Oryza sativa Japonica Group: one gene and its partner. The protein of the gene in region 1 purifies or fractionates together with the protein of each later gene. This does not show direct contact. Links are inferred from orthologs where the notes say so. Each region holds a gene or a part of one and is shown in the gene's direction. Other genes may lie near its edges. The genes, in order: flowering time control protein FY and probable cleavage and polyadenylation specificity factor subunit 1.

Region 1 (14,901 bases):
CACCCAATAATTAAAGAAAGCACCTTTAGAGTGGATTACCATATTATAGTAATCTGGCTCATAGATTGTAATAATTATCATAATAAGTTATCTGTTTGTTTCGACTTATTTATAATAATCTAGAATATAATAATCCTAAACTGAATCAAACAAAGTCTTAAAGAGAAGGTCGACGACAACTTCATTTTTACGTTTTCAACAATAACTACAACATGGTACGTGGATATGCACGCACTTAGAAACTCATACAATAATATTAGATTATGTAAACAACTAGACATCGGTGCTAAAATTATCAAATTCAACTAGAAACCCACATGTACAATACCAGAACGAGTCTAGAGGATCTATGCCTAATGATCTTTTTTTATAGAATATATAGGAATATAAAAGCACAAAAAATCAATACACGTGCAAAAACACATATATTTAGGACGTGGGGGAAAATATAACGTGTTGTGTCTGACATAAAATTCGCCGGATATGGATTTTTTAGGCAGATATAAATCTTAATAAAACTATCACTATTGATTATGATAATTTGAAGTTATATAGCTTGATTTGCCTAGACTAGGTGAATGTTTAAATTCCCATGAAATATAGTAGAATCTCCTACGGAATCTAAAAATACAAAATTTCTCCCCTAAAAAGTAAAAACCCTTCATCCAAAGAAGCACTAGACCATTCGCATATTTGTTTAGAGAAAAACTACTTTGAGTTTGCTTTTATTTGGAGGAAGCAACAGGAGCTTTTTTTTTTTTTAGAAAGAGCGGATAATTTATTTATTACCATCCACATTTACATTCCTATTCATATTACAAGGAGGATTTGAGAACCAAAGATAACGCCCCTCCTGTAAAGTAGAAGCAAACTTAGCTAAGTTGTGAGCATCAAAATTACAAGCCCGATTTTCATGACGAAACTCTACTTTTGCAAAATGCTTCCTTTTTGCCTCAGTATCATTTAGGACTGCTAAATATTGGCACCTTGGTTTGGAAGCAACAGGAGCTAAATACACGAGAGGCCTCGCATGGGCTAAAAATCCTTGCCGTCAACGTGGATGGGCCGGCCTTGAAGGCCCATCTAAATGAGGCCAGAGTGGGCCTGTATGGCCCAAATACATCTCGCGAGGCAAGCGAGGCAGCACAGCACTCGACCACTCGCCTCACGGAGCTCACCCTCCCGCGGCGTCTCCTCGGCGGAAGAACCCCGAACCCCCGCGCCGCACGGATCCAAAACCCTAGCTCAGGTCGGCGGGGCTCGCGGCGGCGGAGATGATGCAGCAGCAGCAGCAGCCGCCGCCGCCGCCGCCTCCGCCGCAGCACCCGCCGCCGCCTCAGGCCGGGGGCGGCGGCGGCGGGGAGTTCTACCGGGGCCCGCCGCCGCAGCCGCCGATGCGGCAGCTCTCGGCGGCGTCCTCCACCAACATCCCCGGCGACTACGCCGCGCACCAGGGGCACCCCCCGCCGCAGCAGAACCAGCCGCCGTACGACGGTAACAGTGCCGCTCTTTTGGTAGTTTCGTCGCTGGCTAGGGTTAGGGGCACAGCAGCGGTATTGGTGCGCGTTCTTATGTTATCGTAATTTTGGCTCAATTCAGCTTATGGGGACAATTTCGGTGCTAAAAGGATGCGGAAGCCTGTCCAGCGGCGAACAGTGGACTACACAAGCACAGTCGTCCGTTATGTTCAAGTATAAATATAACAAACTTATTTCTCAAGCAGTTATAGTGATATATGTTTTGTTCTATTTTGTGGGAGCCTATTATACAGTTGAACTTTGCTTACTATATGCTCCTTTTACTGTGCCTGCTGCAAACATCACATGAATATGAAATGCTCATAAGTTGATTTTTCTGTGCAATAAGATCTAGCACCCTGTATTTTTCTTATTCTTCTGCTAGCACTGATCACCATTATGTATATGACATGCAGGCTCGCATGTGGCAGCGGGATGCTAGGGACAGGCCCACTGTGCAGCCGACTCCAGCTGCTGTTCTGGACGTATGTTACCTTACCCATTTGCCTTGCTTGTAACCAACATGTTAAAAGATAGTTGCCATACTGTTTTCTGTTTTTAGACTTTTATACTTCTGACGCTCACATTTCTTTTGTAATTTGGATTTCAACAAACCACTATGTACATTATATTGATGTCCTTTGCAATCTCATGATTGGGAAGATCTTGAATATTCTTGAGTCAAGGTTCTGGTTAAACGGAAATGTTATGCAGTAAAAATGATAGTCTTAGAAAAAGAAAACTATATTGTTGTATGAATGGATTGTTGTATGTGGATTAATCAAACTCCTGTTGCTATCTAGGGAGAGTGCCTATCAGATCCTGTCTTTGGTTGTTGTTTTTGGGCCATTTAGCTTGCTAATTAATGCATAAGTTTTCAGTTTTGCCACAACTATGTAAATCTGTCTGGATGTTATTTATGATATATATGTGAGATAAATCCTCCATGGTACAACGTAAAACTGAGGGTGCTCAATGGATTAAGCTGACAAAATTAGATCTTTAACTCTTCAGTCTTCAGGCAATATTTTACGTAGAACATACTTATGTCTCATTCCTTTTAATTAGCTGAGTGCTGCTATTTTGGTTAAGGGTTTTGGATTGATTACTGGGTAGTGCTGTCATCTTGGACAAAAGATGATTAAGTTTGATGAATTAATTGTTCAGTTTGGATGATTATGAAATTGTCTGTATCTACTGTATTTTGAATACATTGTCTGGTATCTGGATATCCTGATTAATGTGGGTTTTTTTTTTCAGATGTTGCCGTCTGTTGCATACCCCGATAATCCCTCAACAAGTTTTGCTGCAAAATTTGTACATTCATCAATAAACAAGAACCGATGCTCTATTAATCGGGTCTTGGTGAGTTCTATGATATCCATCTCTATGCTTTCCTAGTATCCCAACTGCTATTTTTATATTTTTCAAAGAGCTCCACTAAGCCTTGGCTAGTGCATGGTCACTGAAGGACAGCGATACCTTCAGAATGCTGAAAACTATAGAATCGATCTAACTTCTAGGTGTTCACCACCATTCACCTTATTGCTGAGCTTCCTTTTCTTCTGAAATCTAATTTTATATTTATCTGTAGGCAGCTACTCTTACCATTTTAAATCAAATATATTTGATGGTATATTATATTTTTACTTGTTTTCTACATTTTTTATGGTAGAATTAAGGATTGATGGCAGTACAACTTTAAAATGTCACTTGATAGGCTCACACACTGTTTGAAAAATGTTCCAATTTTTTTACACCAGCTAGTGCAGAGGGTTGATAACTCCATTCCAAGTATCTTTATATTGGTGTAATCTAACTGAATTCGTATATTGTGTACCACGTTGATATTATTAGGCTAAATATGATTTCTCCTTTTGTCATTTATGTGTCTAATGTATCGTTATTTGTTGATAAAGTGGACTCCCACAGGGCGTCGGCTTATTACGGGATCACAGAGTGGTGAATTCACCCTATGGAATGGCCAATCTTTTAATTTTGAAATGATCCTTCAGGTATTCTATAATTTTGCTCCAGATTTTCTAGTAATGTGTCATTGAGTTTGCTGATTTTTGGAGGAATTTGATAATAGGCTCATGACCAAGCTGTAAGATCAATGATTTGGAGTAACAATGAGAACTGGATGGTCACTGGTGATGATGGTGGTGCAATCAAGTATGTTGGCCTTTTGAATTTTTATCACTGTCAGTCTGTCACCCTGTTGGATACTGATCCTTAAGTTAACATGTTGATCTTTTCACTGACATGTCAAGTGCACGTTTTGACTTCCTTTGTAGGTATTGGCAAAGTAACATGAACAATGTTAAAGTTAATAAAACAGCTCACAGAGAATCAGTTCGTGACTTGAGGTGATGGCAGCCCCATGTGCTTTTTTCTTTACTTTACCTATACCAAGTTAATGTTCATTCTCTGTTACAATGCATCTTTTAAACAGCTTTTGTAGAACAGACCTGAAGTTTTGCTCCTGTTCTGATGACACTACTGTGAAGGTTTGGGACTTTGCAAGATGCCAGGAAGAAAGATCCTTAACTGGTAATGTTGTTGTACTTTTCTATGAGCCCGAACTACTTGATCCTCGCATGCATGAAGTTATTGCATGATATCTTATATTATTTTTACCCATCAAGTAACCTGAATTTGCCTTCATACTCAGCCAGGCCATGGTTGGGATGTTAAGAGTGTCGATTGGCACCCTACAAAATCTTTACTGGTTTCAGGTCAGTTATTATGCTTGCTAGTTTAATGAGCTTATTTGTGTAGAGCTAATTCTATTTTTTGTTATTTAGGTGGTAAAGACTATCTCGTGAAACTTTGGGATGCAAAAAGTGGTAGAGAGCTACGTTCATTGTATGTATTGTTTCATCGTTCGTATTACTTTGCTAATGTTGAAAGTCAGCAACACATCAGCACATGATGACCTGATGAGCTATATCTGCAGCCATGGTCATAAAAACATTGTACAATGTGTAAAGTGGAATCAGAATGGGAACTGGGTGTTGACTGCCTCCAAGGATCAGATTATTAAGGTCAATATTTTTTGCTTGTGTACCCTGTTCTGTTCATCCATTCTTTCTGCAAAGTGTTCTGTTTACACTGCTTAGTTTTCTCATCTATTTGACATGCTTGTGCTAGTGAGGTATACCATGGGAATGGGGGGGTTCATACTCAATGTTGATGCAAAATTTTAATGTCCCTAGGACGCATCATCAGAAAAAAAAAAACAGCTATTCAGCATGACTACTTCCTCCGTTTCACTTTATAGACGTTTTGGGTTTTAAATAGATTCATGCATGTCCAAATTCTTACAGCTAGTGAATCTAGACAAGAGATGGAGAGGCCAAAACGTCTTAAATGTGAAACAGAGGGAGTAATAATCAATTATTGAAACAAAGTTTTATTTGGTGGTTGAAACTATTGTCTAGAGAAGAATTACTGCTTTCTCCATAATTAAGTGAATTCAATATAATATTTTCTGTTTTCTTAATAAGACATTATAAGTTCCGTTTGTTTCATATCTACTAAATAAAACACACTATATTGGATAGTTTCTAACTTGCTATTGCTAATGTGTTTTATGCAGCTATATGATATTAGATCCATGAAAGAGCTTGAATCCTTCCGTGGACACAACAAGGATGTGACTGGTTAGATTCTCACTACATAATTTGAATTTTAGGTTCCCTTCCTGGAGTTTAAGATTTGATACATTTTTCATTTTTCAATCAAACAGCAGTTGTAATTTATTTGTTTCATTGCAAATCATGCATTATGGATATCAAACTACTGACTGAAATGTTGCATGGGAAATTGTCATATCCGCCACTCCCTTATTTGCCATGGTTGTTTTGAATAGATAATATACTCAATTTATTTATTTATGCAGCTTTGGCATGGCATCCATTTCATGAAGAATATTTTGTTAGCGGGAGCTATGATGGAGCGATCTTTCATTGGTTGGTTGGGTAAGACATCAGAAATGCAATTAAAATAAAAAAATTCTAGTTGGCATGGTAGTTTCTTTTCCCATTGGAACTTGGGTTTTTGTTTAACTGTGATATTGTAGTGTTAGACCACTCTGGCTTGTGTTTACGATTACTTAAGTTTACTGTGTGCTTAACCTGTCTGATGAATATATTTAGCTTTCAAGTTTCTTCTTGAACTTTTCACTTGTTACATTCTTTTAGAGGAAATACATTTTTTTGTTGGCTACAAATGACTCAATCTGACTAAATTAAAATTTCAATTGATTGGCAGCCATGAAACTCCACAGATAGAGATAAATAACGCACATGACAATAGTGTGTGGGACCTTGCCTGGCATCCTGTTGGTTATCTACTTTGCAGGTACTGCCAGAGTTACAGATACAAAATTCTGAATTTGCAGTTTAGATTTATGCTCGTCTTTTTCTTGAGTTATTTTTATTCTTCTAACCTATAATTGCAGATATGGATATGGAAACATAATTATGTTTACTTATTCCTTATTTCTGCATCTCAATGATTCTAACTGCTATTTCTGTTTCTCCTTTTATCTCATTATGCTGTGCAATGCGTCAGATTTCACTGATACAATTGTCACTTCCGTTCAGTGGGGGCAATGATCATGCTACGCGATTTTGGTGTAGAAATAGGCCTGGTGATCTTACCCGCGATAAATACAACAGCGGACAGATGCAAGGTAGCTTTTCCTTTTGTTGAGCTTCTTTCTTGGTTTATTCAACTTCTTGTTCTATTCATATTACAAAATACCACGAGTCACCACATGCCTTTGATGGATGATTAGTTAGACAATTTGATGGACATCACTTGTTCACTTACTGCACATGTCTCGGTGTTTTTTTTTATTTGGGACCAGACAAGAAATGTTTGATACATATAATAAACTGCTATTATGTTTCAGGTTACGGTGACCAACATCCTGCTTTTGCTGGCCGTGCTATGGGTGGATTCCAGATGCCTGAACCTTCAACAACACCTGGACCATTTAATACTGGATTATCACGAAATGAAGGCACAATTCCTGGCATTGGGGTCGCAATGCCTCTTGATGGATCTGATCATGGAGAGCAGAGGCCATCGATACCTGGCCTTCCACCTGGGCAACCTCCCTTGCCTCCAGGTCCCCATCCATCTCTTCTAGCCGGTGGGCAGCAACAGCAATATCAACAGATGCAGCAGCAGCATCCTCAATTTCCTCGACCACCACCTCCAAATATGCCTCAATTGCAGCCCCCAGCACACATGCTTCCACACGCGCAAGGATCTCGAGCACCACTTCCTCAGCTTCCATCAATGTCAGGTCCACCACCAGTGAATCCACCACTACCACCTATGCCTCACCCAATGGTAATTTAGTATTACCTAAACGTTCTGTTCTCTGCAAGATCTTTTGTTGCAAGTAAAGAAACGTGCTAACAACTGCTAGATTGACAGCTGATATATTGATTTTGATATTTCCACTTTGCAGGCAATGCAAGTACAAGGTTCATCAAACCAGATGATGCCTCAAATGCCACAGCACTTGATTGGCATGAATCAGACACACCAGGGCCCTCCTAGTAATATGCCTCCAATGGGTGGCTTTCCAAATGGAATGGGAAATATTCAAGGTGGATCTAGTGCTTCTGGCATGCAAAACTTTCCTATGGGAGGCATGTACAACAGGCCTCAGGGAAAAATGCCTCCACAAGCACAAGCACAGATGACATCCATCCCTGGTCTGAGCTCATATCAGGTAAAACCAGAACATTACATTTCAATGAGTTTGTTGGACCTTAAGGTGATTTTGTTATATATTTATGTTGCTCACATGCTGAGAATTATTTAGTGACGTTGCTGCTTGTTGGTCAATCTTCGCAGCCGGGTATGGGCAATGTGGGCCTTCCGCCGCCACCCCCACAGCATCCACCGCCTCGCGGTTCAGCGCCGCAATGATCTCTTGTAACTGTGCAATGATGATTGGAAGCCTTCTATTTTCCATGCGGTAAAACATATGTAGTATGATCGTATTCGAGGAAGAGAGGAGTCTCCAGCAAACGGAGACGGATATCTTGGATAATGATAGTTAGGATTGTTCTTATCTCTTGCACCGTCGGCTAGGATACATTTTGCTGCCCTTGGACTGAACGGGCTGTGCTGTAACAAACCTGTCCACCTAACAGCTTGTTTCTGCTCCCTATTTATGCTGCTCGTGTTGTATTAGTTCTTATGCTACTGAGGTTTTCAACATAGACGGAGGCTATCAAGCAGTTTTGTAACAAGTGAGAATCATTTTGCCTGGCCCAGTGAATTTGATTGGTTGACGGCGTACGCTCTATATTGTAAACACTTACACTGTTGTCAGGCAATGCTTGTCCGTGGGTTCATTTGTTAGATCCACTGATCACTTATAAGAGGAAAATTGTTTGAATTTGTAATTTTCACCGAGTAAACTGAGCCAAAGCGTGGTAATTACATGTAAAACGACTCCTTGAGCACATAAAAAGCATATGCCATTGTTATATGCGAGCTTATATCTGCCAACAGCCAAACTTCACACGAAAATTTGCCTGGTTCTTATTATGTAACAGGACTAAAACCAATACCAAGCTAGCGGTGTCACCAACACTACTATACAGAACGGATCAAAGGTTGTACCGAACTACAATCTGGAGAGAAGTTCGTCGGGCGCATCCATGGTGGCTTATAGGCGCTAATGGCATGGTCCAGGTCACCTCTCATCCCCTCAGCTTCATTAAGGTCGTCATTCTCCTTGGCAACCTTCCACGAAAATCCAAAAAGAAATAGCAAAGATTAATACGTGCTTCGCGAAAGAATGTGACACCGCTAACAAGGAAACAACTACATAAAAGGGAATTATAAAATTAATGCGATGAATGTACCTGAACCGGTCGATGAAGGAAAGTTGGAAGAAACCGAACCTTGCAGTACTCATTGAACAAAATGGTTGACACAAGCAAGGGAACCGTGGCGAATGAAGCCCCCGGTTTCGACTTCAGCATTGTAATTTGCATGAGTGTGACCGAAAGGAAGATGTAGCGATGAATATTGGGCCAATATTGTCCACAAGTATCATATGTAATCTCATATACATCTTCCATCTGTTAAAAAGATAGCAAACAAATAATCACTACATAAAATAGAAGGACCAAGGTTGGATGGCATAAAAATGGCTAGACTGAACCATATCCATCCAAGCAATCTGCTGGAGGTCACGTGTAGAAAATTTCTGTATTTTTTAAAATCTATGTAATGCTGCTTTGCAAGTAATGCAAAATTGAATAACTTTAATATGAAGCTTATTTTTAATTTATTAAGAAAAAAGTATTGCCAGCTTAAATCAACTTGAAGTCGCTAAAGAGAAACGCAAATATGAAAAGCAGCAAGTATTATGAATTAAATTTACCTGGTTGATGTACACTGCGTAACCAAGCAAAAAGTAGATAACAAGAATTGGAAGTAGAAGAGGCGCAACAACAGCATAGACCAACCCAATCAATACTGCAAGGGAAACGATGGGCACAACTCTGTAGTAAGGGAAGCCATAAAGATATGGCTGCTCACTATGTCCAATTGAATGTGCCTTGAAGAAATGCCATGTAAGCAAACCAAACTGAAGAACCTCCAAGGAAAACCCTGACATGCCGTCGGTCAAAATGTATGTGATGAAGAAATCTGACTGCAAAGCAAGCAAATGGATAAATTGAATGGCTGCTGTGGAACATAGATACAGTACAACCTTTTTTTTTCTTTGCTTTACCTGTGCAGAAACAGCACGGGCCAGACGGCTAGGTATGTCTTTTGGATGTGTAAAGGATTCTCCTATCTGGTGGAGTAGAGAACCAGAAAGAATGCTCAAAAAGAAAACATTCCCTAACAAGAAGTAAAATACCATGTTGCAGGCCTTGATTTCCTTCTGACTTTTTGCAATGCATCCCTCAAATGATGCCATGCCAAGCATCGCGAAGGGAATCAAGTAGATAAAGCCATTCAAGATCATGCTTGGAAGATACCCAGTTACGACAGAATTCAAACCTGGTCTGCAAGATGACAAAAGTATCATATAAATCAATGTTGTTATACCACGGTACTACATGCTAACATTGCCTACTGCATCACAATATATTAAAGTTTTGGCCACTAACATAAGTTCCACAGCTCTAGCCGGTGGAAACCATATTTTAATTTTCTCAAATTGTACTATCCCTTGCACAGCTGTGACAGGGATGGTGAAGAACACTATTAGCAGAAACGCAGCAATGAAGACACCAAGTTTGTATATAGCAATACGGCAGAAAGGAATAGCCAGATTTGTCCATAGTGCATCAGGTGGTTCAGGAGCATATGTTGTCACCAAGGACAGAGGATTGACATGCTGTTGCATTTCGGCAGCTTGGGCAGCATCCAGCTGTGATTTGAATGAGACAAAAGCAACCGGTAATTCCTGGAGTTGAAAGCAAAATTAGTATGTGATACAAATAATTCTCAATATAAATAGGTGCCTTCATTCTCTCTGTTTCGCAACACCAACATTGAAGATACTATTGGCACAAGCAAGTGGATTGGAGAATACATGAGAATGCAATACCTTCCGTTTAAGCATATTTTCACACTGTAGGAGGCGGATAGAGTGATGGACGTTCTTCAGTTTTTCTTCCAGTTTGCGAGTATCTATCGCTTCTAATGTCAACTTAAACCAGATCCACTTCCAAAAGTTACATCTTCTGGTTTCTCTTTTCCTCTTTATCTTGTCCTCAAGGGAGGATGCCAACTTCTGTAATGATGCAAAGGCACATTAATAGTGTAGTAATAGTCACTTAAGTATGGCACAGATTACAACTTCTACCTCAATGTATTAATTACTCACCTGAAGTGCCTTGATGTTTCCAATGTCGTGTACTATGTGATACGATTGGTATGTTCGGTAGTGCTTTGAGAAGAAGTGGTCAGCATAACACCCATAAGTTCCATGATCTGGGCATAGTGGAATTCCTCGAACTAAAATGGTATATTGGTCAGGCCGTTTCCTGTGATACTTCAAATGTGCAATTCTTCTGCTGGACATTTCTTTGTGCTCCTGGTTCAATTCAAGATGCCAGTGCCACATATGTATTGAACAGCATAGTTATGTAATAGTTGAAACGAAATCAAGAATACTTGCTTAGGAATAGGATAGTAAATAAAAAATAGCAAAATATTTTCAAATGGTGGGTGATCAAAATTTCAACATCAATTTTCACAACTGAACAGGGGAGAAAACACAACAGGATCAATTGTAAGATTGTAACAATTGGATCAATTGTAAGATTTTTATAAACACGTACCTTATGAAGCAAATACACCACATAGAATGATATGAAGCAGAGGCATGCAAAATGCACCCAAAGCCTGTTGTGACAAAGAACTAACTCAGTTAAGAGATTGGCACCATGCTGATTGCTAGGCAATACTTATCTGATGAACTTTCAACTCCTATGTACTATCATTAACACTCTGTAGTCTATCAGCTTAAACAAGATATGCCAGTGTCCCTTGTGAAAACTTGTATTGAAAGCAAAACAGCTTGCTCTATTGGAGAAAACTACTCATTTAAATTGGAAATTATAACCAGAGAGCAATTCATGAACGTTTGATTCACAAGAATGGGTTTCCTCCACTGATCTCTGAAACACTAGCATTTTCGACCTGACTACTCTGACTCTGAAGAATACCTGGAGAGGAGGGTGAAAGGAAGCTGCAGAATAGCTAACCTGTTAGAACCCCTTGCCACATTGGATACCGTGAAAAGTTCCATTGAATTTGACCTTTTGGTGTCTTGTAGACCTTCACAGGAATAATTTGTTGGTGCAAGGATGAACAATCCAACGATTGAGCAAACAGCGAAGCACTTGATCCTACATTCTTACAAAGAAATTAGTAAAATACTCCTATTGAGAGAGCAAGCAGAGTAACATTAGCAATTTTCTCAGAGTAGATGCAGATCAGTAGAACACATTCTTACCCGAATTTGAAGAGGCGGACGACGACGAGCGCGTCGAGGCCGTGGCGCCGCAGCACGTCGTCCTCGGAGAGCCGGAGCGCGGCGCGGATCCACCGGAACGACGGGGTCAACCGCCCGTGGCCGAGCGGCAGCCCGCCCCCACCGCCACCGGCGGCCATCCGCCGCGCAAGGTACACCGGCGCGTTGCCGGGCTGCTTCTTGAGCAAGGAGAAGAGCGAGAGCGCCACCAGCGCCAGGCCCAGGTTGATCGCCGCCGACGCCAGCAACCCCTCCGCGTCCATCCCCGCCGCAACCTCCGCCGCCTCGACAACCCCGCGGCGGCATCGCCTCTACCACGGAAACTAGTAGATCGCCGGTGTGCTGGCCGGAGCCGGCGACGTGGCGGCCGGAGGAGAGCCGGGGGTGAAACGTGGCGCGGCTCGAGCTCGACACGTGCGGCTCGCGCTCAAATGGCTCGGCCCACTCACCATCATGGGCCAAGGCCCATCTCACCCCGGGTCGGCTCGGCTCGGCTCGTGTTGCGACGCGGCTCGGCTTTAGCCGCGGATTTGTGTGGGCACAGAGGCGATAGGCCACCATCGGAGAAGGAGAGGTCGCCGAGGAAGAGGAGGAGGAGGGATGGCGGCGGCTGCGGCGGAGGGCGCGGCGGCGAAGGCGCTGCGGGCGGTGCTGGGGCGCGCGGCGAAGGCGGCGGAGCGGTCGGGGCGCGCGGCGGAGGCGGTGCGGGTGGTGGCGGTGGGGAAGACGAAGCCGGTGTCGATGGTGCGGGAGCTCTACGACGCCGGCCACCGCTGCTTCGGCGAGAACTACGTCCAGGAGTTCGTCACCAAGGCGCCGCAGGTTCGGAGTTTGATTTTCTTCGTGGATTTGCGGAATCCGCCATTTGGAAACGACTTGACTTGTGGCTGATTGATTCTGCCATTGTTGCAGCTTCCAGAAGATATCCGGTGGCATTTCATCGGCCACCTGCAGAGTAACAAGGTGAAATCACTGTTAGGTATGGTTAATTTCTTGACTTCTACTAGTTTTCTAACCAATTCCCATCATGCAGTATCGGTTCGTACTGAAGAACACATATCACATGGATAACCTGCCATTTTTCTTCAATATATCTATTTTAGAGAGAGGGAAAAGTAACAGTTATATAATGGTTAACTGATGATAGAGTTCACTACCTTAAAATGATGATTGGTGATGCAAAACTCCTACACTCACTGATGTTTTCGTCCAAGTGCCGATGTGCAGAATATAGTGTAGTAACAAGAACATCAATACATTCTAATAAACTCTTTTATCTCGTGATAATGTTCAAGCCGCCATCGTCTATGCTACTCCCCTGATACTTTCAAAGAAAAATGTTTCTGTAAAAAGGTTGAGATTACATTGTAACCATCATCACATTATAGATTTATAGTCCAGTATCCACTCTCCAGTGAACTGAGTTGTCAGTCTCTTCACTCGAGCTTCAAATGCATATTCTAGCATGCTTATTAGGCTAAAACACTAGTATTAACTCCTACCTTTTTTCAAAATGATGGTTGAAATGAACCTCTACGTGTCCCTCGGTAAGTGCAGCCTGTACACAGGGACTTAGGTCCATAAGGAACTAACCATTACAGGACATATGTTGCTCTGTCTTAATACCTCTTATTCTGTTCTGCAGCTGCTGTTCCAAATCTTCACATGGTTGAGGGTGTAGATAATGTAAAGGTAAGCAGCTTAAGCTCCGAACACTTTTAAGGGTTCAGTTCATTATAAATTACACCACACTAGTATATTGCAGCATGCTTATCTCTTTTTTTTTCCCAATAATGCTTTGATGCTTATCTGCTCCTTGTGATGATATTATATGGATATGCCAATTGATACATGATGTTGACATACTTTCAGATTGCTAACCACCTTGATCGTGCTGTTAGTAGCTTGGGAAGGGATCCTTTGAAAGTTTTGGTACAAGTAAACACTAGTGGAGAAGAATGTGAGTACAGAAAAAAAAAACGAAAATCTTGAAAATCCCTATCTTGAAGACCTATGGAATCTCATTTCCTGTTTAGCTTGATCTAATAGCATAGTTTTAGTTTTCTGGCATATCATTTGACATGTTTAAAGTCATCATCGGTTAAACTAATCTGACATCATTACAGTCATACCATTACATCAGAAAGTGCAGTGTAATGTATTGTATCTGACTTTCATGGTAGCAATGAATTTAACAAGGAAATATTTTCATTTATTCAGCAAAATCTGGTATTGATCCCTCCAGATGCGTCGAGCTTGCCAAGCATGTGAAGTTAGCATGCCCACACCTAATATTTTCAGGTCTCATGACAATAGGAATGAAAGACTACTCCTCAACACCAGAAAATTTTAAGGTGGGTTTCCATTATAATATCATCTCAAATGTAGCTCTGCATTTCACTTTCCATAAGATGTGTTATCTGAATACAGGCACTGGTAAATTGTAAACTTGAAGTTTGTAAGGCCATTGATATGCCGGCAGAACAGTTTGAACTCTCCATGGGAATGTCTGGTGACTTTGAGCAAGCGGTAAGAAATACTTTTCATTCATGTAATCGTGTCTATAGGTGAATATCAAATCAAAGTCACGAAATTAGGTTCAGAGTTCCCTGTTTGATCCTTTAGCTAAGCAGTTTTGATTTTCATCATTATGTTGGTTTTATTCAGATAGAGATGGGTAGCACAAGTGTGAGGATTGGGTCAACTATTTTTGGACCAAGGGAGTATCCAAACAAAAAGAATTGAAGCTATGTACATTGTACTCCTGACTCCATGTAAATGTGAATGTGAAACCTGATGTTTATAGATGTATAACTGAATGTGAAACCTGATGTTTATAGATGTATAACTCCAAAGAGCATATCAAAAGGAAAATTTTAGACATCACCAGAAATGGCAGTCCATGCCCTAATGGGAAGATCTTTTCCTTGAAAAACCCTGTTTGTGATTAATCTGATTTCGTACTATTAACGTGCAACTTTTTTGTCTTTGTACTACCTATGTAAAGCACTGTAAATTTGAGGCTCTTTTAGACTTTAGTACTTTTGATTGTTTCACGAACCATGGCTTTGAATTCTTTTACTGCACGTGTACAGATGTACATGTACTACTGCTCAACCGTACTTTTCAAGTTGCATTCATTTGGCCATTTAGGCCCAGATAATCTTAAGTTAAATCAACAGAACATGGCTCAGATCAGTTAATTAACAGGCCAAGTTTTCACTACCCAATAAACAAGGCCAGTTAACTTACATAGCCAGTTTACTACAGATCTTCATAGCATACTATGTCACATACAATAAGATTACTTGGCTGCTAAATTCTTGGACTTACTAATCGGTTTCC
Region 2 (16,249 bases), on another chromosome or scaffold:
TTGTGCAGAGATTAGATCTTATGAAATCAAAAGCATCTGTCCTCAGTTCGGTTGGTTACCTATGTACTTCTGTGCTTATATGCTTCCTTTTTTAGATATTGCTCTTTTTTAAGTTTACTAACCTATTTATGGACAGGCTGTGACATCTATTGGAAACTCATTCTTCTTCCTTGGTAGTCGTCTGGGGGATAGCCTTCTTGTGCAATTTTCCTACTGTGCATCAAAATCTGTTTTGCAAGATTTAACAAATGAGGTGTGTACTGAGATATCTGTGTTGATTTACTTTTTATCTTTGAAGTAAAACATTTCACTACATGTCGGATACCTATATTTTTGGAACAACACCTGAAATGAGTTCTTTTTTACTGTCATTATAGAAAACATGTAACTAGAGATGCAATATTTCTGTACTTGTGGTTTTGAAAATTTGAACCCAATAATTCACCATTGGGCTTGAATGCAATGATTTTTTTGAACTGAGCTTGAATGCAATATTAGTTCTAATTCTTCTCATGGTGTTGAAGCATGACCATGGCAGCATAACCATATGGGTGCTGCTACTTTGTGCCGGTGCCCGGTGATCCATCTGCTAGTGTCCGATTGTTTACACCATTGTTTGCAGCTTGCATTATTGATCCTCCTGTCAAACAGATGATGCCACATCTATGGCACTCACTGTCAAGTCATTCTATTGGCACCTCAATTTTATGTTCCAAATGCCTCTTATCATAGTTATTAAAACCGGACCGGACTGAGGTGTGATCTGATTTGATTAAAAGACTGGGGATGCACATGAATCGGTAGAAACTGGTTATACTGCCCAGTTTTGTATAAAACTGGCTAAAAACCTGGAGCAGTCTCTGGCCGGCTATACTTTTTTCAAGAAAAATCAAACTCCATGCGTGGGAGGAGGGATCGATCCCGTGATCACTGGCTTGCCCATGTACCTAGTAAACCAACTGAGCAAGCCACATTGTTGATTTCACAAGGAGAAGCACTCGATTTTTTTCCTTGGAGTCAACCAAAACAACAAAAAGTAAAAAAATGTTATTTAACCAACGGTCCTGCCAATGAACTGTGAACTGATGGGCTCACTGGTTTGATGGCCGGTCCAGGTTTAACAACTATGCCTCTTATGTTTCTCAACTTGCCATATAGTTTTTCTGTTGGCAGATCAGTAGAAATGGTTATTGGGTTGGTTTTTAGGATTTTTTAGACCAACGTGATACTTGAGAACTGGCAACCAGGGTCATTTTACTGCCTTGTGGTGGCTTGTTTTTGTGGTGGCGTGAGTTCTTGTACTTTTTTCTGTTTTTTTTGCGTGTTTGGACACCTTTCTTCTTCTATTTATGCAATGATACACAGCTCTTGCGTATTTGAGAAAAAAAAAGAACTGGCCACTCGTTAGAGATCATTAAAGGTTATTTCCTCCATTCCCAAATGATCATCATATTAGTAGTATTTATTCCAAGGTCTATTTGTTATGTGTGCATAGGAGTAAATGTACATTGATGCATGCGTCCATGCACACAACCCTTTACAACCAACATGCAATGTCTTGGTTTGTTATTGGCTAGGAAATAGTGGGGATGGTGCATGCATCAGAGTTTGTTACTAGATTAAATGTAGTACATGATAGTTATTAGCTTTTATTGGTTTGGGTGCACTCCTGTAATATGATGATCAATTGGGAACGGAAGGAGTACAAGCCTTGGCAAATTCATCTTCCATCCACTGCCTTTTCTTCTCTTCCTCTGCTACTACCACCTCTCTATGCTTGTTCGATGGTATCATCATTTAGGGCATTCAATGAATATAAGGTTCATTTTCAAGGCTAGACTTTTGACAGAAGTCCAGAAATCAACCCTGAACCTTCGAGTTAAGACATTTTACGATCTTAAACTCTCAAATACATCTGCTTTACCCCCTGGTTCGAAACATTACGTCTTTATGCTGACCTGACACCGTGTGTATATTAGTGGCACATAAGATTTGTTATGAGATGCCCCCCTTCCCCCCTACACACCTCACACCATTGTATATTTTTGTTAAAGCATCTAAAGATACATTTAGTTAATTAACCATAAAATGTACTTCTACACAATATTAAATTATACTTTTAATTAATACTAGTATCGCTATAGAATAATAGTAAAATATGTACATAACATGGATGGTTATTTTTGTTGCATGTAGCGTTGAGCCTTTGAAAAATACCACGTATAAGGTGAGCTATGGCTGTCCCTTGAAAGCATTGGTGACTAATGATATAGCAATCTACTTTTGTAGCGCTCTGCTGATATTGAAGGTGATCTGCCTTTCTCCAAGCGCCTAAAGAGGATTCCTTCTGATGTTCTACAAGATGTGACCAGTGTTGAGGAACTTTCCTTTCAGAATATCATTGCACCAAACAGTTTAGAATCAGCACAGGTCTGAGTATTACTTTCAGGGTTTCAACTGTATGCTAGCTACCTGTGGTTCCAGAATCATATGTTCTAATTATCTGTACTCCTTTAAAAAGAGCAAGTGGTGGTGGTGAATCTGCCACCACCTCATCACCAGTGTCCCCAATTTTGATATGTGGGACCTACTAGCGGAGAAAAGGTTGTGCCAAACATAATCCTTCAAACTTGGTTAGTCAATATTTGCTAATATAAGAAAGTTGAGATAAAAGAAGAAAAGCGCACAATCTTACTCATTTATTGGTTATGTGGATTGATTATACAGTGACGTTTATCCTTCCTGTACAATGCACAATTCCATTATCTTTTTCAATTAACAAAGGGTCTTCATCTTGTATATAGTTGTTTACTATTTCTTTTTGGCTACCATTTCCAATCACGAACTATATTACTTATTCTCTTAAAAAATATCACAGTTGCTTCTCATTATATTCTGACTATATAATTCACTGGCTTTTTCTTTGCAGAAGATATCATACATTGTGAGAGATGCATTGATCAATGTTGGTCCACTGAAAGATTTTTCATATGGTTTAAGAGCCAATGCAGATCCCAATGCAATGGGAAATGCGAAGCAAAGCAATTACGAGTTGGTCAGTGGCATGGCAATCTTTACTTTTGATCTTTTATTACTGTTGGGTCTTTGTCAATCAGTTCTATGGTTGATTTAGCTACTATTGTTGGATGTGCATATGTGGTTTGTTTTTTTTATCTTTAGTATGGCAAACCAAGGTTTCAAATCCTACCTGTAAGCAGCAGGTTACAGCTGGTTGTTGAAAATTCCAAAAGTTTCTGATATTAGTACTAGCTAGGTTTTGAAGATTAGTTGTTCTCAAGTCAAGGAATTAAATACAAGATAATGAAAAGATTAAGACAATAAACTGAATGTTTACCAGAATGGGTAAATTGCTAACTGGAACTCTGATGAGTTTATATTTATACATAGTACATGACTGAATAAACATAATTAGGAACAATGTGCCATCTGTAATCAATTGAGGTGTTAACATCAATGGTCCATAATGTATGCTATTGAATAATCTGCATGAATATGTGCTAATTATTATGTTGACGATATTCGATCTTAACATTTTACTTTTTTTATCACCTTTCACATATCTGTCAATTCAGTGCAACAATTAAAGGAATGCAATAATCTATTTATCCTGATTTAATAAAGGATAGTATATATATATTCCACTTCAAAGCATGCAGTTTACAAAAATGTTGCTGAGAATTGTGGATTGGGAATATGCCATTGCAATATGGAGGCAAATGGACTGATTTAACCCCATTATTCTTTCGTCCTTTCCCATCTCCACCCACTCCATGGCTGCCATTGACCAACTAGTGGTGTTCCAGAGAAGGCGGGTGCCAACTGAATGAGTAACGAGCAGTCATGGCGTCCTTGGCTGCTGATAAGCTCTAGAAAAATCCGTGGAGTTATCTCTTTTGATACCAGGTCCAGCCAGCATCATTGTCCTTCCACTGACCTACTTTTCTTAGTTTCTCCAACGCAGGCCTCCTAGGCACTAGCGCAACCCAACAGCACACTTGACATTGACATAGCCTCCGCAAGGTTCACCAGTGCTAGTGTCAGCATTGTAAACATTGATGAGCATTGGCACTGCCTTCTCACATCTGAACGTTGCAATCCACAATGCACCACCCCATCATTTGTCTTTTCATTGCTTTCCGCAGCAATGTTGGAACCCATTGGTAGCAGCAGTGCACCATCAAGATAGCATCTGTTGGATCTGTGGAGATCATGGGAGTAAGGTGCAGCAGTAGGGAAGGATGAGGCATGCGAATGGCATATTTCTAAACTGTAAACCTTGATTGTGGCATATTATTACCATTTTTTCCTTTAATTAAGTACTGCTGTATGTAATTTATCCTTGATTTGGGCTACTCATTTTTCTAAACAATATAAGCTTATTTCAGGTGTGCTGTTCTGGTCATGGTAAAAATGGTTCACTTTCTGTCCTTCAACAATCTATCCGTCCTGATTTAATTACTGAGGTAAATATTTTTTCATTTACCATTGGTATTTTGAGTACTTGCAATCTTTTTGGGAAGTTGCAAATTCTTTATCAGTTTGTTTTATTATTAGCTTGCTCGTTCATCCGAGATCTTTGATTTTGTTGGCTTTACAATAGCTGATGAGCACACATTAGTTCCATGATGCATGCAGATCATTTGGGTCATAATTACCGTTTCTACTTTAAGCATGGGATGGATCAGATTGGGCCATTCAGTATATTAGTAAGGCTGGGGCAATAAATGTTTCACTTAACATATTAATGCTGGTGGTGAAACATGATTTAGTATGGAACACATGGTGGTTTTTGCTGTGAAAGATTTGCTGTTGTATGCTGAGTCTCGTGTTGTCAGCAATATTGCTGTGAAACCAGTTATCCTGAGTCTAATATGAAAGATTTGCTGTTGTATTTTACATTTTGTTTGTTTATATGGTGCTAGTTTTGCGTGGGCTGTTCATAATTAAGTAAACTTTATGGCCCATGTAAAATAGTAACCACACATGAAATAGAAGGTTGTTGTCACTGGATCATATCTTGATGGCTCAACCAAACTGAAAATGCCATTGATGCCTTTTGAAAATCTCCAACAAAGCAGTCCATCTTTTGCATCTATTGGTCAACACCAAGTATGCATTTATTTTGTCATTACTTTTAGGTACTTCGTGGAATACTTTTATTTTTACTCAGTTACATTGTTCTTAACTTCTGTAGGTGGAATTACCAAGTTGCAGAGGTATTTGGACAGTTTACTATAAGAGTTACCGTGGACAAATGGCAGAAGATAATGAATATCATGCATATCTGATAATAAGTCTGGAGAATCGGACAATGGTAAAACCTTTTTTTTTTTTGTTTTACTGTTTGATGTATGCTCCTTCCCATGGGTATGGTGATGCGTACTCTCATTGGTTGTGGTGAACTGATATGCTTATAATGTTGTCCCAGGAAACCTGCATTGGTTCCTTTTTAGGTATGGTATATGACAATTAAACAATAATAAGATGATCCAAGAAATCCTAAACAATTTAATGAATACTAGCATATTGCCCATGCGTTGCAACTGGATTTTAATTAATTAAAGGAAATTATCATTAACCTGTTATTACCATCTCTTAATTGCTGTATATATTTGTTATTGACATGTGGACCCTTTAGTCCCACACTATCCTTTTTCCTTCCTATAAAAAGTAGAGAGTTGGTGGAAGTGGTTGACATGTGGGTCCTCTAGCCCCACATGCCATTTTTCCTCTAAAAGAAAATTGGGAGTTGGTGGTGGGGTTGGTGGCAGAAGAACATCACCACTACTACCTTTTATAAGGAGTATAGATTGCTATATGTGGGAGGACATAAAAAGGATAAATGGGACCAAAATATATGCTTTCAGCCTCCTATTTCTATCTCATGTCCTAAATGGCTAAATGTCATTCCATACGATTGCAAGTTTTCTGGAAGTACATGTGACTTAACGTGTTCCACACAGAGTTATTTTAGAAACTTTGGAAATTTCTAATGCCCCAACTGTTATAATAATTGAGGATACTGTTATGGGCAGGGATCAAAAGGATTGCCAGGCAGTCTGTCTACTGGCTGCTAGAGATGAGAAATAGGTTGGGGTGTAGGGAAGGTGATGTCAAATAGTAGTGAGGATAATCAGGCAAAGAGTAGTGAACGGCCAAATATATTTTTTCTTGGTACTATTTTTGCCTGTTTATCTCCCCTACATAGTTTGTGGAGTGGTTCTCATGATTTTACTAAATTGATGCTTTTCAGCTAATATTTCCCACAACATTCCCCCATAAAATAATGGTTCAGATTTGTACTGTATATGTTTTCGCTTTATGTGGAGTTGGTTTTGGAACAAAATCATGACACAGGAATAGTTGATTAAGTGCTGAGTGGTTAACTATGGTCCGGTTTGTTGTCTCTTCTAGGAAACTTATTTCTCAGCTTCTTGAAACACAATTGTTGCTTCATGTGAACATTACCTTCCAAATGGATCGGAAAATGGGTGTATACCTGTATGCAAGGTTTTTTTAATAATTTTACACCAAAATGGTTGCATGCAATGTGAATATCAGTATTAAAAGCAAACCTATTTATTCCCTGTCCCAAGCAATATCTGTACTGGTTTGACCTGCATTATGTGTATGTTGTTTCTTTCACTTCTTTTTATTTGTTTGTGCGAGTGTTCCTAAACCATGTCATGCCATGTGGTGTGTTTTTCAATGTTCTGAATATTTTATTCAGCTGACACATGGTTTTGCTATTTAACTTATGATTGGAATCGATCCTCCCCTTTACTTTTGATGGAATGATGGCTAACCATTTGATAATTGTGTTGTGAAAGGTACTTGAGACAGGTGATGACTTAGGAGAGGTTACAGAAACTGTTGATTACTTTGTTCAAGCAAGCACCATTGCTGCTGGCAACTTGTTTGGGAGGTATACAACTGCTAATATTTCTGTAATTTATATCAATTATGTAAATAGTAGTTTGGCATTATCTGCTGTGGAACAGATAGATTTTGCATATGTCTTATAGTTATGACAACTATCTCATGTGGATTGAGCAACCTGGGTTTCAGGGTATGTCTAATTTGTCATGACATTACTCCAACTATCTCTTCTCATGTGTGCGTCTAATGAATGTGTATGTTTAGTGCTCTTCCATAATTTGTTTTCCTACATTTCACATCATCTGACGGCTTTCATAAAACATGAATGAAGATTTGAAGATGTTAAAAATCTAAAGGTTCACTGGTACGCCAGCCAACTGCCTTACCTGTATGTGATACATACATAATGATGCAGCAAGCCAGCAATACAGTGTATTGCCAAAGTGTTGGTTAAATTTCGAAAATAATGAGAACAATTAGTGGTAATTCACTAATACATTGTGTGATACGTTTTTCAATACACATTCCTGTCCTGCTTCTTCCATAGCAAGGGAATCCTCTCCTCGCTGCTTTTCGCGATGTCTTTGCGTCATGCCTGTGAACAGCAGGGGATGAAGCTGATTCTGGGCAGTAATGAGGGGATGTCACACTGGATGGACAGTTGAAGCTGGAGTTTGATGAGTATCCTAAAGTGAAAATCAAGAGGAAGAAGAGAGGTGGTCGTGGTGCTTCATGCACATGAAAGAGGGGTTAGGTCAAGCAGCCTCTATTGCTGTGCTGGTGGGTTGATTGGGCTGCAAGGGCATAACATGCCTGTTGGTCGATACAATGGGCAAAAGTGCCCTATCTCTTTCCTCCTTTACCTTTTCCTTTTCTTATGATGGCATAATGGATCTTCTGCGCCTTCTTGTATGCGGCATAACATATATCATGCTGCAATTATATTTTAACATATATGTACTCAAATCTTGCCCCTCCTTTTATTTTGAAAATTGTGTATCACTGTCTTATGTATCTATATAACTGATATGTGATACTCAGGTTATAATGCAGGAAATTTAGCAATTTCTATTATTTCATTATTGTTGAGTCTTTTTTCTGTTTTTTTTTGCAGGCGGCGTGTCATACAGGTATATGGTAAGGGTGCTCGTGTGCTTGATGGTTCTTTCATGACACAGGAGCTAAACTTTACTACGCATGCTTCAGAATCATCTAGTTCAGAGGCTCTCGGTGTGGCATGCGCTTCCATTGCAGATCCATATGTTCTTTTGAAGATGGTTGATGGATCTGTTCAACTTCTTATAGGAGGTAATGCATATCCATTAGTCAAACACGAATTGCTTTCGTTGTTATTTGTTTTTTATTTGTCCAAACTTCGGTCAAACTTCAAAATTCTAGTCCACCAGTATATACTTATCGCATGCAATTTGTCATATTGTCAAGTAGTTTGGAGGAAGTAATGCTAGAAAAAAAAAGAATCCTTTTGAGGAAGTAGAGATCAAATAAGCATATGATGGTGAAGTGCAATACCTATTTTGCTTTCATATGGCTTTAGAGGACACAGACATGTGATGATTTCCTGATAGATGAAGATAGAAGTTAGCAATCTGGTGCTTTGTATGTTTAGGACTAAGCTGGTGCATAGAACTGTGTTTTAACTATTGGGACTGATTCTTATTTCAGTTCTAGCCTATGAACTTGTGTGAGATTTGGATGGATTAGGTTTAGGAAAGGCTTTTGGAAGTAAATTTGATATGGCCAGCTAGACGAGTTGTATATGTCATCTTAATTGCACATCACCAATTACTGAAATAATTAAATACATGTCTTTTTTGTTTCGTCGTGCAGATTATTGTACTTGTACTCTTTCTGTGAATGCTCCCAGTATATTTATTAGCTCAAGTGAGCGAATCGCTGCCTGTACACTTTATCGTGACAGAGGTCCTGAACCATGGCTGACAAAGACACGTAGTGATGCATGGTTATCTACTGGTATTGCGGAGGCAATTGATGGCAATGGTACTTCATCTCATGATCAATCTGATATATATTGTATCATTTGCTATGAAAGCGGTAAACTGGAAATTTTTGAAGTGCCTAGTTTCCGATGTGTTTTCTCTGTGGAAAATTTTATTTCTGGCGAGGCTCTTTTGGTTGATAAATTTTCTCAGCTCATATATGAGGATAGCACGAAAGAAAGATATGATTGCACTAAAGCTTCCCTAAAGAAAGAAGCAGGAGATAGCATTCGGATAGTTGAGCTTGCAATGCATAGATGGTCTGGTCAATTCAGTAGACCCTTCCTTTTTGGACTATTGAATGATGGCACATTGTTGTGTTACCATGCCTTCTCTTATGAAGCCTCGGAGAGCAATGTGAAAAGGGTTCCATTGTCACCTCAAGGTTCTGCTGATCATCACAATGCCAGTGATTCCAGGCTCAGAAATCTCAGATTTCACCGGGTTTCTATAGATATAACATCACGAGAAGACATACCAACTCTTGGACGACCAAGAATAACAACCTTTAACAATGTTGGTGGCTATGAGGGATTATTTCTTAGTGGCACGAGGCCAGCTTGGGTTATGGTTTGTCGACAACGATTGCGGGTGCACCCACAGGTATGTAAATGCAATGCTCAAGTTCTCAATGTTCTTGCATTTGACCACTTTTGCTCCTTGTCTTGATTTTTTGATTTTTATTCCAGTTTGACATTTTAAAATGACCAAACTGAAGCATTTACTATTTTGCAGTTATGTGACGGTCCCATTGAAGCCTTTACTGTTCTGCATAATGTAAATTGTTCTCATGGCTTTATATATGTTACATCACAGGTTAGTTGTTTGTGCATTGTTGTCAGATAGTTTTACTAAAAGTTTGAGATTCAGGGATACACTTCTTTTTTGGTTGTAGGGTTTTCTGAAGATATGCCAATTGCCCTCAGCATATAACTATGACAGCTACTGGCCTGTTCAAAAGGTACCTCACTGTAACTCCTGAACAAAAAATGGGTCAGTCAGCATTCTACCCTAGATTCCAAACTTGTAGCAAACAATCCCTCAAGATGTGCACCCAATGTGCCCACTACCTTGCTTCTTACAAGCCTATCACATGCACATTCATATAAGCCAAAACAACTAGTTCTGGAGCTAACAAGTTCTTTCTTATTTGAACACCTTGCAATCCTTCAAATGGTGCTGCTGCAGAATCAACATCTGCTGCACTGATGCCACTATAATTGAGTGACTGTTTGCAATTCATAATGTGGAGGTTGGAGTAGGCGGACCATGTGTGCGGGGTATTAGAATTATGCATTTTAACAACTCAATTTTGTGAGAATCACAAAATCATGTGGGATATGGTTGAGGTTCGGATGGTTGCTCCTCAACCTATCATTATTGATGCTTGGTTCCCCACTCATGCTTGCTACCCCTTGTTGTTGAAAATAGGAGTGTTGCAACCCAGTCATCCTTGTGTGTCCTTGTTGACTATTACAACCTTTGGCTATAGATATTGTTGTGGTTTGTCAGGAGGAGACATCGAGATTTAGTATGCTATTTGTATCTTCGGAAACGTATCCTGTTCCACAACTCTGACTTGGTTTAATTAACTAGATAAATCTCCTTAAAGACATGGTAAAACTTGTCCCTTTGCCCCTGTTCAACAATAGTTTTGACATTGACATTTCTTTCTTTCTTTATTTGTTTGTTCAGTTCAAATTAAAAACCATTCAGGTCCATGCCATCATGTTGAAGTGAATCTGAGCAACACCAATATGCCATTGCCATGGGGGAAAAATCGCCTCAGGAATTACCTCAGTCCTTGCTTAGATGGGACTCAATCCCAATCCATTCACGTGTATAGGGAGGGAATTTGAAACTAAAATCTTGGGCCATCCAAACTGCTCTTATTCCGCAAGTTTAGGGGGTTAGGAACCTGGTTATGTAGTTCAGGATGAGCCAGAGTTCAGGGAATAAACTGAATTACTCTGAAGCCTTCTCATCCTTGAAAACCTGACCATGTTGCATCTTTGCAGGTCCCTTTGCATGGCACCCCACATCAGGTCACGTATTATGCAGAGCAATCTCTTTATCCCCTAATAGTGTCTGTTCCTGTAAGTATTAGTATATGTTATTACTGCAATTCTAACATAATTTATCATTGGCATCTAATTATGTTTTTGAGGCATTTTCGAATATGTTCAACACATAAAGTCCAAATAACACCCTCCGCCACCTAAACTTTGATTGAGAGTCCATCTAGCATATTGAACTTTAAAACCGGACGTTCAAACCCCCAAACTAAACAATACAGTTTATACAACCCCCTAAGGTGATTTTGCAAAGTGGTTTTTCATCTAATTTGCATGTATGTTGGATGAGTTTGATCACATGACATACGTATTAGACATATATATGTTAAAAATCTCCATGCAAAACTTTTTTTTCACTCCCTTATTCGCTGCAACAACATTGTGAAAGTGTCACATCACTATGTAAGAAGAAATTTATGACCTACTATTAATGATATGTAAATATGTTGTATCAGTTATTCAAAGCTGCTCATTTAAGCTTCCAAATGTGCAAACTACCCTAGGGGGTAATACGAATGGTATTGCAAAGTTTTTTTTTTTTTTTTTTTTTTTTGGGGACGGGGGGGGGGGGGGGGGGGTGGATGTCCAGTTATAAAGTTCAGGGTATTTGGACTTCTTCCTATGTACAACTATCTAGTACAATATTCTCATTTTGGTCCTGCAGGTAGTTCGTCCCCTAAATCAAGTTCTTTCTTCTATGGCTGATCAAGAATCAGTTCATCACATGGATAACGATGTTACAAGCACTGATGCCCTTCATAAGACATATACTGTTGATGAATTTGAGGTCCGCATTTTGGAGCTGGAGAAACCTGGTGGACATTGGGAGACGAAGTCCACAATTCCAATGCAATTGTTTGAAAATGCTCTAACCGTGCGCATTGTTACATTACATGTATGCGTCTTTTCTCATTCCCACTTGAAACCAAACTATATGAACTTCTGTGACAAACCAAGTGAACCTGTCTGGTTGAAGACACCATATTTTAGCAACCCACAAGCACATTTTTGCAAACTAAATGCCCTCTATACTCTATATTTGACCCTTTATAATTCAATTATGGAGCTGTTAGCATAAACTGTCAGCTATAATAAAGTCATCATTACTTCCTTTTTCTATCTTCTTTTCTTCCAAATGCATGGTTGCCATGTCATTTCTATGCTTGAGATTTATCTTGTTTGAAAATTTAATGATCAAAGGTACACATGTCTGTAGGTTTAATTATATTATTCACTGAACAGTTATGCATTTTTACTTCAGAATACAACCACCAAGGAAAATGAGACCCTGTTGGCCATTGGGACTGCTTATGTTCTTGGGGAGGATGTAGCTGCTAGAGGACGTGTGCTTCTGTTCTCTTTCACGAAAAGTGAAAATTCTCAAAATCTGGTACTGTGAGGGAGCATTATTGCAATTGGGAAAAAGGTTATTACTTCCGTTACGTATCGATTGATTTGATAACATGTAAACACTAATTGCAGGTCACTGAAGTCTACTCAAAAGAGAGTAAAGGTGCTGTATCAGCTGTTGCGTCTCTTCAAGGTCATCTGCTGATAGCTTCTGGTCCTAAGATCACATTAAACAAGTGGACTGGTGCTGAATTGACTGCTGTTGCATTCTATGATGCCCCTTTGCATGTTGTGAGCCTGAACATTGTGAGTATTGAATAGCTTTTGGTTCAATTAATATGCTTTTAGGTTTTGAGCACGTAACTTTTGGTTTAGTTCCTGTTTTCTGTTCTCTAGGCATCATTTTTCCTCGAAAGTCCATGCATAATGCTGATAGGAACAATTAAATAGAAAGAAATAATGCATTAATTGTTTCTTCATACACAAGGCTATGTAAATAGTGGTTCCCTGAATCTGGCCTTACCTGATGTTTTAGCTTTGGAGTTTTGAGCCAACCCTGACTTCTATTGTGGAGGTTAGTATAATTGGAGCTTAATGCCTATGAGCCAGCTGGGACTTTGGATTTTCCAGTGTTCATGCATTGTACTGACTACAACTTCTTTTCTCATAACAAAGATGTACGACACAGCCACTAACTGTTCTTATTGCATGTTACAAACATAACATTAATTATATAGTGTTCCATCAGGTCATGAAAAGTTGTTTTGGATGTACGTCATGTCATCATCAATATCTTCTATAATATCTAGTTGGGGAACATAAAATTCATGTGTGTATTTGTCTTGAAAATTAGTTTCATAATATTAAAATTTATTGGGGTTATACATTAGTGGTTAAAGTTACATTTTTCTGACTGGATTTTTAAAATGACATGTTTTCCTGACCAGAAAATATTTCCCCAGCCAGAACAGTAAAACAACCAAAAAAATGTGGAGAAAATGATTAAAGTAATATTTTGATATTTTAACAATTGATATTACAGATGAATTTTTTTTTTGTGTATTTAGCTAAATGTTTTTTGCATAGTAAAAACATAGTGTGGAGTTAAAAATAAAGTAGTTACCATACTTTTGAGTTGAAGTGATATCCCTCTTACTGTTTTTTAAAAGGAGTAGGAACTGCATACTCGACCACAGGAATGACATCATCAATAGTACTACACCAAACCAAAATATCCGTCAAATGTGTGCACCATTTGGTTTCTCTCAAACTCAAGTTCTGGGAACCTGAAAACTGTTCCCTTTGATCATAACAAGAAACCTGTGCTAGCCAGTGTTAATATAGACTATAATGTATTTTTTTTATTACTAGCTAATCTGCTCATATGTTGCCATGGAATCTTAAAAAGAGAACCTTTGTCATACTACCTCAGTCCAAACTCTAAAAGTTTAGCTAAATTTAGCTATTATTATCTGGAGGGAGTACATTTTAAAGCATAAAATTGTTTAACTGTTTTAGTCAATTTTTGCCATCAGTTTCTAAATACATGCTGAGCTAGGCAGGGGCACAGAGCACTGTTGCTTCATGATGAAAAACTGACGCAAGTCTTTTTTTCATTCACTTTCTGGATGCCTGCTGAATTAATCATCTTCTCTATTTAATGTGAATTCATGTTATTTAGGTGCAATACAGGTCAGTACAATTCTGCTTGTGAGGGCAAAAAGACACAAACATATGCACATTGCATAATAAGTTATGACAATTCAGTCCTTAATAAATTGATTTCTATCAATACAGCACTGCTGTGATATCAGGCAGGCCGGCTACACTCTCGTACACCAGCAGGAAAGGCCTGGCCCATTTACAACTTGCTAACCTTAACTCCCATTTACACCTGCCAGCGGCCTGCAGCTTGCACCATTCGTTGCGTCCTCTCCTCCCTCTATGAGCTGGACCACGCCATGCTTCCTCCCTTCTCCAACGTTGCCACTCCTATCTCCTCCATTCTCAAGCGCCATCGGCGCCAGCCCCTGGCCCTCTCCAGCACCACCTGCCTCCAGTCCCTTCTTTGGCGAGTCTATCTAGCAGGGTCACGTCTGCAATTCTGTCCCCTTCCCCTAGTACGATTTATTCCCGTCCCCTTCCTCTCCCTCTAGCAAGTGAACCGGCAGCGCCGAGCCCGGGACCACCAGATCCGCTCAACCTGAGCGCTATGGTGCTCTTTGAGCAGCAGCAGCAACAAAACAGCCAACAAGCGGTGCGTTGTGGTGGAATTGACCATGGCGGAAGGATTCAAGCATTGGCGAAGCACGCTCAGCTACCGTGCTGCCCCGCCAAATTGACAAACAGTGGTGAGTCTCTGCACTGCTGTACAAATACAGTGGCATCAGAAGCTGGCGCCCTGCCAGATCCAAGCATGGGCGGCACAATTCCTGTTGCGAGTTCCATGGGCAATGTCCAAGGCAAGGAGGTGAACGGGGGAGTAGGCGAGGATTCCCGTTCCCCTCCTATGGATCTGTGGTCCCCACATGTCAGAAGGTTGGTGGCAGAACCACCACCACCACCACTAACATTTAAAGTAGTATAGATTTCTTGTACTTGGTGGGTGCATTTCCAATGCTACCTTTTGCATATTTAAATTAAGAGAAAATCTATTCTATGCCATTGAGTTTGTCCTGGTTCAACAATTTGCCATTGACTACCTCTTTCTATAACATACCACTGAGCATATCAATTGTTCTACAATATTTCTTAGAAAAATGCCTTTATAGACATAAGATTAACAATCGATTTATCCCATCCGAAATTTCAAAAAATAATGATGTTGTTTTGTGTAGCCTCGTTACGCAGCATAATAGTTTGTTTATAAGTTTCAAATTTTTGCATTACTATTATTTTATAAGATATAATTTATGTGTTATATGCTACTTCCTCCGTTTCACAATGTAAGACTTTCTAGCATTGCTCACATTCATTTAGATGTTAATGAATCTAGACATATGTATGTGTTTAGATTCATTAACATCTACATATATGTGGGCAATGCTAGAAAGTCTTACATTGTGAAACGGAGGGAGTACATAGAATACTTTTTTGCTGCTGTTTTTGATGTAAATCATCTACCATGTGTTACACAAAATATTTTTATAGTATTATCTTTTGTTTAAGCAATTACTCATGTACCACACAAAAGTAACTTTTTAAAAGGACGCGACTACAGGGAGCGCATGCACTCGTTAGTGCTAACCAGCGACCATCTTTTTTACCAAAATAGTACAGTGGGTATCAACTCGTTACCCTTCTTAATAGCACCTGCCACTTGCATCCTCATTGCCCATCTAAATTCCAAATAAAATTTTTCTCTTAAATTATTTGTCGGATCTACGATCCGATTACACCATTGTGCTCGTTGCAATTAAATCTGTACAACAAGATCTTACATGATTATATTATGATGAAAAAATTATTTATGTTTGTAAACTACTTTTATTATATACTAAGTTACTTTTATCATATATATAAATTACTTTTAGATTTGATTAAATTACTTCCTATACATTCATAATGCTATGAGGTGATTACTTTTATTATTATTTTAGTCAATTCCATAATTTGTGCTGATTAATTTAGTTTCTAGATAGAGTTATGTTTTTATCACTACAACGGATTTACTTCTAATGTCATGACAAAATTACTTTCTTTTTGTCTCAAGTTACTTCTATAATATATGTAAATTACTTTTAGACTTTATTGAATTTACTTTTATATGTCTAAGAAGTAATTTAGTGAAATCTAAAAGTAATTTAGATATATTATAAAAGTAATTTGTAAATTTTCATCGTAATATAATCATGTGAGATCTTATTGTAAAGATTTAATTGCAAGTTGCAACGAACACAATGGTGT

What was found.
Region 2: the proteins of flowering time control protein FY (region 1) and probable cleavage and polyadenylation specificity factor subunit 1 fractionate together in Arabidopsis thaliana (co-fractionation; 3 studies listed by BioGRID, with this or other methods). This does not show direct contact. The link is inferred for Oryza sativa Japonica Group from reciprocal best matches to the Arabidopsis thaliana genes FY and CPSF160.

The regions. Positions count from the first base shown.
Region 1 is NC_089035.1:42,518,937-42,533,837, reverse strand, and holds flowering time control protein FY, read left to right. Parts: upstream 1-1,150; 5' UTR 1,151-1,274; coding exon 1,275-1,494; intron 1,495-1,599; coding exon 1,600-1,691; intron 1,692-1,933; coding exon 1,934-2,002; intron 2,003-2,777; coding exon 2,778-2,882; intron 2,883-3,436; coding exon 3,437-3,532; intron 3,533-3,609; coding exon 3,610-3,692; intron 3,693-3,814; coding exon 3,815-3,886; intron 3,887-3,972; coding exon 3,973-4,070; intron 4,071-4,195; coding exon 4,196-4,255; intron 4,256-4,324; coding exon 4,325-4,385; intron 4,386-4,476; coding exon 4,477-4,564; intron 4,565-5,118; coding exon 5,119-5,182; intron 5,183-5,421; coding exon 5,422-5,500; intron 5,501-5,792; coding exon 5,793-5,882; intron 5,883-6,127; coding exon 6,128-6,216; intron 6,217-6,438; coding exon 6,439-6,884; intron 6,885-7,005; coding exon 7,006-7,272; intron 7,273-7,397; coding exon 7,398-7,472; 3' UTR 7,473-7,954; downstream 7,955-14,901. Other genes in the region: CSC1-like protein At3g54510, read right to left, coding at 8,148-8,297, 8,420-8,638, 8,944-9,216, 9,298-9,577, 9,683-9,981, 10,126-10,311, 10,405-10,614, 10,862-10,925 and 2 more; uncharacterized protein, read left to right, coding at 12,157-12,378, 12,469-12,535, 13,202-13,248, 13,429-13,516, 13,777-13,910, 13,987-14,085, 14,224-14,301.
Region 2 is NC_089038.1:10,089,698-10,105,946, reverse strand, and holds part of probable cleavage and polyadenylation specificity factor subunit 1, read left to right. Parts: coding exon 1-50; intron 51-136; coding exon 137-253; intron 254-2,289; coding exon 2,290-2,430; intron 2,431-2,929; coding exon 2,930-3,055; intron 3,056-4,406; coding exon 4,407-4,484; intron 4,485-5,215; coding exon 5,216-5,335; intron 5,336-6,851; coding exon 6,852-6,946; intron 6,947-8,014; coding exon 8,015-8,208; intron 8,209-8,748; coding exon 8,749-9,521; intron 9,522-9,653; coding exon 9,654-9,734; intron 9,735-9,813; coding exon 9,814-9,879; intron 9,880-10,936; coding exon 10,937-11,014; intron 11,015-11,657; coding exon 11,658-11,888; intron 11,889-12,254; coding exon 12,255-12,383; intron 12,384-12,475; coding exon 12,476-12,649; intron 12,650-16,249. UniProt on the Arabidopsis thaliana protein: CPSF plays a key role in pre-mRNA 3'-end formation, recognizing the AAUAAA signal sequence and interacting with poly(A)polymerase and other factors to bring about cleavage and poly(A) addition.